Linked DNA regions of Kluyveromyces lactis. The protein of the gene in region 2 interacts with the protein of the main gene of each other region in a pairwise test. Links are inferred from orthologs where the notes say so. Each region holds a gene or a part of one and is shown on either strand. Other genes may lie near its edges. The genes, in order: MSI1 and CAC2.

What was found.
Region 1: the proteins of CAC2 (region 2) and MSI1 interact in binary tests that used the Saccharomyces cerevisiae proteins (3 or more experiments, as listed by UniProt). The link is inferred for Kluyveromyces lactis from reciprocal best matches to the Saccharomyces cerevisiae genes CAC2 and MSI1.

The regions. Positions count from the first base shown.
Region 1 is NC_006041.1:2,093,714-2,097,079, forward strand, and holds MSI1 (Msi1p), read left to right. Parts: upstream 1-1,532; coding exon 1,533-2,786; downstream 2,787-3,366. Other genes in the region: PGI1 (glucose-6-phosphate isomerase), read left to right, coding at 1-1,197. UniProt on the Saccharomyces cerevisiae protein: Acts as a component of the histone chaperone complex chromatin assembly factor 1 (CAF-1), which assembles histone octamers onto DNA during replication and repair.
Region 2 is NC_006041.1:982,373-985,839, reverse strand, and holds CAC2 (Cac2p), read right to left. Parts: upstream 2,172-3,467; coding exon 690-2,171; downstream 1-689. Other genes in the region: CUE1 (Cue1p), read left to right, coding at 1-318; KLLA0_E11155g (HAD domain phosphoesterase family swiss army knife RNA repair protein), read right to left, coding at 3,144-3,467. UniProt on the Saccharomyces cerevisiae protein: Acts as a component of the histone chaperone complex chromatin assembly factor 1 (CAF-1), which assembles histone octamers onto replicating DNA.

The DNA.
Region 1 (3,366 bases), about 1.1 Mb from region 2:
TCTATTACCGATGTTGTCAACATTGGTATCGGTGGTTCAGATTTGGGTCCAGTTATGGTGACTGAAGCATTGAAACATTATGCTACCAACTTGAAGGTACACTTTGTTTCTAACATTGACGGTACTCATATTGCTGAAACTTTGAAGGATTTGGACCATGAAACCACTTTGTTCTTGATCGCATCCAAGACTTTCACCACTGCTGAGACTATCACTAACGCAACTAGTGCTAAGAACTGGTTCTTATCTAAGAACGGTGGTGACCAATCCCATATCTCCAAGCATTTTGCTGCTTTGTCCACTAACGCTACTGAAGTTGAAAAGTTCGGTATCGACACAAAGAACATGTTCGGTTTTGAAAACTGGGTCGGTGGTCGTTACTCTGTTTGGTCCGCTATTGGTTTGTCAGTTGCTCTATACATCGGTTTCGACAACTTTGAAGCATTCTTGAAGGGTGCTGAGGCAGTAGACAAGCATTTCGTTGAAACTCCATTGGAAGACAACATTCCATTGTTGGGTGGTCTATTATCTGTTTGGTACAACAACTTCTTCGATGCTCAAACACATTTGGTTGCGCCATTCGATCAATACTTGCACAGATTCCCAGCTTATTTGCAACAATTGTCTATGGAATCCAACGGTAAGTCCGTCACCAGAGGTAATGTTTTTGCAAACTACTCTACTGGTTCTATCTTGTTCGGTGAACCAGCTACCAATGCTCAACATTCTTTCTTCCAATTGATTCACCAAGGTACCAAATTGATTCCATCTGATTTCATCTTGGCAGCCCAATCTCATAACCCAATTGAAAACAACCTACATCAAAAAATGCTAGCATCTAACTTCTTCGCTCAAGCTGAGGCATTGATGGTCGGTAAAGATGAAGAACAGGTCAAATCAGAAGGTGCCACTGGTGGTCTAGTACCTCACAAGGTCTTCTCTGGTAACAGACCAACCACTTCCATCTTGGCTCAAAAGATTACTCCAGCTACCCTTGGTGCTTTGATTGCTTACTACGAACACGTTACATTCACCGAAGGTGCTATCTGGAACATCAACTCATTTGACCAATGGGGTGTTGAATTAGGTAAGGTTTTGGCTAAGGTTATTGGTAGTGAATTGGCCACTGATAACAAGATTTCTTCTCACGACAGTTCCACCAACGGTTTGATCAACCAATTTAAAGAATGGATCTAATGTGAGAATGCGATGCAATTTCCTTTTCACCTAAGATATGCAGTGAACTTAGAATTCCACATCTTTACGTACAACCAAACTAAATAAACTTCTTTATCAAAACGCTATGTGCAATGAATGACTTATATACGACAATGTCACGAATATCAACTACATTGGAAGTAATTGTTTTCACTTAATCAATCTCTTTTTTCATATTTACATTAAGGAAAATGAAAAATGATACACGTCCAAAAGATTCAACAACGCGTGATGTAGTGCGAGAGTACAGACATCGAGATTGTGACAAGATATAACAATACCAAGCTAGCTCATAGCATATAGAGGACGCAACAATGAGTGAGTTGATTATAGAAGAACCTCCAGAACTGGGCTCTGGAATTTCTAATGAAGTACAGCAAAGGTATACCAATTGGAAGAAGAATACAAAGTTGCTCTACGACTATTTGAATACAAACACATCGAAATGGCCATCTCTATCCTGCCAATTCTTCCCAGACCGTACTCTTACGAATGACAAACAAAGGATATTATTATCTTCATTCACATCGCAGCAACTTCCGCAGGATGAGTCAATTTACATCGGGTCCATATCTACCATGAATCATATGAAATGGAGTTCCATCAATAACTTCGACATGGATGAAATGGAATTTAAACTGGATAATTCATTGAAACTGAACGACAAGACATTAGAAGAAGAGGTACGAATAACGTACCCTGACGGTGATTGCAACAGATGTCGGTACATGCCTCAGAACCCCGATATAATTGGGACTGCATCATCAAATGGATCAGTGTACATATTTGATAGAACGAAACATGGTAATAAGATTTCCACAGGCAGGAAATTCGAAATCGAATGCAGAAATAACGGTGACGATGAACAGGACGAGAGTTTATCCCTTGCATGGAATTACCAATTGGAGGGTACCTTAGCTACATGTCAAAGTAACGGGAAAGTAAAAGTATGGGATCTTACTAAATTTGATAAGTCGAAACAGAGAATGGAAATACCTGAAAGAGAGAGTGTGATGGACGCGAATGGAGTCAATGATGTGTCATGGATGGTAAACCACACTTCCATTTTAGCATCATGCGGAGAATCCAACGTCATTGGACTGATAGACATAAGACAAGATACGAAAATGGACACATTACACCGTACTACACATACAGATGGAATCAATGCCATCGAGTTTAACTATAAGAACGATATGATATTGTGTACCGGTGATTCTCAGGGCCAGTTAAAGATCTGGGACATAAGAGATTTCAAGGAGCCAATAAAGGAATGGGAACATGGAGATCAGGATCCCATCTCTGCCATTCAATGGAACCCTCAGATACCGCAAATACTGGCCACTGCAGATCAACAGAGTGGATTAGTGAAGATATGGGATGCATCAGGTGAACAAGAGGACTCTAACGCTGAAAACAACATGCTATTATTTGTCCATGGTGGTCACATGCTCGGAGTCAACGACATTTCATGGTCACAACATGATCCATGGACCATGTGCAGTGTATCGAACGACAATTCAATTCATATCTGGAAGCCAGCAGCAAACTTAGTAGAACAATTGTAGATTAAACTGGAACATGTCGTCGATATATACATGTATCGGTATTGTTTATTCGCATATAATAAATGTGTCGCACGACACAAGAAACACGTTACTCTTCCTTGAATTCCTTTCACGTGACCTATAACCAATCATAGCACTGAACATGGACCAAATCACCGGGTACGAGATGCCACTCTTTACAACTCTCTACAACTCTCTACAACTCTTCTATGCAAACAGGTATACAAAGGATATGCCAATCTACCATGTTTCAACTCTATACTAGTTGCACAAGATACGCCATCAGCAACTGTTGTATGTTTTATAGTTGTATACTACTTTATGCCAATACTTTCCACTACGTATAGCCCATTTTTTATTTTCCAGCAGCCAGGCCAATTCGAGGGAAAACAAAATTTTCTCTTTCAACTTTTGGCGAAACTTTTAGGATTTGGAAATACCTACACTTTTCACACATCGAAATCCAATTAACTGACCTTTAATTAGTTAGAAGTTATAGACATACGTTTGTGTTATTCTTGAATTGTAGTTCATTTTGAGTTTTATTTCGACTAGCTGATTGACTGCCCTTTCATTTAGA
Region 2 (3,467 bases):
TTCCCACCAGATTACGTCCCAGAATCTGAAACAGGTGGCAATTCTTCCAATGGTCAAAATCAATCGACCGGAAGCTCTGTAACTACAGGAAACAATACAAACAACAATAGCACATCTACAGATCCACGGAAAAGATCCAACATTAAAGCTGACAATCTGCTAAAAAAATTCAACGTGGATCCACAAGAAGATCTTTCAAACTTGAATCCCAACGATCTTTCCATAGAAGAAAGAAAGAGATTAATGGTATGGCAGGCAAGAAAGAGTATGGAACTAAAGGTGGAAAACAGTGAATACCTACAGTCTCTACTGAAATGATAGGTACAATTGTGTAGATATCTATAAATCGTACATATACCAGTAAATGAAATCCATTCTCAATTACATGCTAGAGTGTGTCCTTTACAGCTAGATGTCTTTCCAGAGAGAAATGTTGATCACGTGACTAACCATTTTTTTGCATTTCCTATTTTGTTTCTATATTGTTTCCCAGACCTTTCTGTTTCTACCTCCTAGAACTGCCAACACCCTGATTCTTGTCACGGGCTTGGCAATAAGGCAATCGGCTGGTGTCTCGAATCTTAACTCGGCGATTATTACTTACTACTATACACAGTAATTATTGCGTAGAGAACAGTTCAAAGTCACGTGTTATTCCGCCATCTCCCTCTCTATAAACTAATCTAGTTCTATTTAGGTTGATCTGATGTGACGAGAGTAGGTTGAACCCTGCGTTTGAGCTTCTCCTTTCCAACTGTGGTTGCAGCTTCTGAGACAAGCTGCGAGATCGATCTTTTAGCTGGTGAAGGGTTTGGAGTTTCGGCGGCACCGGTACTAAGATTTACGATACTAGCCTTTTGTGATGATTCTGGTTGTGATTGTGATTGCGATTGTGATTCGAGTTCCTTCGTCAAGATTGGTATAGATTGATCTTTCAAAGGTGTGCCAAAATCATTGTCTGTGAAGTGAATATATGAGCAGAACCCGTCTGTGCTTGATATCATTAGTAATGTTCCGTCTTGGCTCCACGCAAGATCTGTTATGGGGGTATAATGCAAATTTCCTGCGATCGCTATAGGACTGGTATTTTGTGTGTCGTACACCAGCACTTCATTCGTAGTTGCTACAGCGAATACCAGTGTATAAGGTGCTTTCACCCATTCAGACGCGGTTTCGTACATGATAGGATTAAACTTGACCACTAATGCCGGTTTTTGTAGAAAGGGTAGTGAAAACACGGGTTTGTTTGAATTTGAAGTTAGAGAAGCCCTTGTGTAAATATATACGGCATTCGCGTACTCTGGGTTATTATTTGAGGCATCCGTTTGTTCATCATTTCTGAAGACCCCAGCTGGTACACATAAGAGACTGCCGCATGGTGACATGGACAGCCTTCTGAAAAATGACGGAAGGGTTTCGTTATGGAATAAGAAAGTCACCTTCGACTTATCAAAATCGAGTTCTTTTTCACCAGGATTTTTCCTCCTTGGTAGTTCTGATTTTAATATTTTATTCACTAATTGTAAGCCCTTTACTTCGTTGTCCTCATAAATCATCTTACAAATCGCCAATGATCTGTCTGCAGATTGCGATACGATAAATTCTCCCTGAGGGTCCCATACAATCCCTTGCACGTAATGATTATGCTCCGTTATATGTCCTACCACTTTTCCCTGATCCACATTGAACACTCGTACGGTGTTATCCAAAGATGCAATAGCTATGCACGTTCCCTGAGGGTTCCATGAAATATCATAAATCTCGGCATTCGAGGCTGACCCTGACCTTAATCGCTTCCATACAGCCCACGATTCCTTAAAATCTTGGAATTCATCATCATCTACACCAAATTCCTTTACCATAGTCTCGTTCTTCTTCCATAGTAACAATAACCCATCGTCTCCCGCCGTGGCTAACGTGTCACCTTGCTTATTGAATCGACAAACGTTGACAGCTTGTTCGTGCTGCGTCAACGACGAAAGAAAATCAATTGTCTCTATCTTCCCATCATTTTCGCTCTCATTCAATTGCCAGACCCTGATTTTATTGTCACCTCCCGAAGTGAACAACCGTCTAGTGTTCTGGTTAGTCTCTGATAAGGGTTGAAAACATAACGAGTATATCGGATGAGAGTCATGCCAATATATCTGTAAACTCTCGGATTGTACCATTTTTTCCACTTTCTCTACTCGAACTGAGATAAATTGAACTAGTCCTATCTTATGAGCTCAGAATTACTCTACTAGTGCGTTAACAAATTTCGTTATAACTCTTTAGATCAACGTTACCTTTCCCTTCAATGCCTGATATTCTTTTTTTTTCCAGATTGTTTACGTGTATCGTCTTTTACTGAGGAATTCGATTTCTTAAGGAAAGAATATCAGCGATACAGCAGCAAATTGGATATTTAAATGAATATATACATTGCATGATGGGAACCTTATGCCATTAGAAATATTCCAACACTGAATAAAGGTAGTGAACACGACATACAACCCCCTTCCGCCTGTCTTTTCTCTTTTTTTCAATATAATAGCCCTATAGTAGACTGAAATAACAGTTTTTTTCAATATAAATTCAGTCAGTTTGAAAAAATTTTCAGATCTGTCACCATTACTTTAGTCATAACTCAGGCTCGAGCTGTCTGAAACTGTACTCACAGATCAGATCAGATCAACTGTTGCATCTATTGCAACATTTTATACTTGGGAAGTTTGTAGTGGTATCAGCAGATACCAATGCGTTGAGATTCAGGAGAATTTTACTCAGCGCATCAGTCAAATTCCCAGTAAACTTTTCTTTCAATAGACTACTGGAGCCGTTATTGTGCTTAAATGAACTGCTAACTGGAGAGGTGTGGTACTTCGGGTGTGCACCAATGAAATGTGCATCTGAGGGTCCTTTGAAATACAAGGAACATCCTCTTGGAGTCTTTGTTTACAATTATTTCAATTTATGATAGATCTGTTCGTGAGAACCAGTTCTATACCCTTTGGATTGGAATACAAATGAAGTTCCCCACAATTTTATATTTAGTTTAAAATTATTTATTATAGCCTTGGGTTTATGTTTGTATGTATGTTCTTGTTCTTTTTGTCCTTGTCGTTAACCAGATCTAGTGTCTGACGTCTTGTTTCTAGTACTTATTCAACGTCGCATGCTGTCTTTGCCAGATAATGGTATTTTGGAATAGCTATTGCTGAGAAACTGGGTAGTGAGTGGTTTATTTCAGCAAGAGACCCCCTGTTGTTGATGTGGTCCATCACACTTTGCATATCTTCATCTGAGTAGTCCGAAGTGAACAATATATGGGTTCCCGGTTGTTGGGTCGAGCCGACGGAAAATGCCAATCTTGATGATTCCAAAGAGATTGCTTCACGGATGGACCAGTCTATGACTTTGTTGGGACAGAAGCATGTAGCATCACCAATCAGTTTCCTAAAATCTTCTGTAGACGCTTCTGGTGT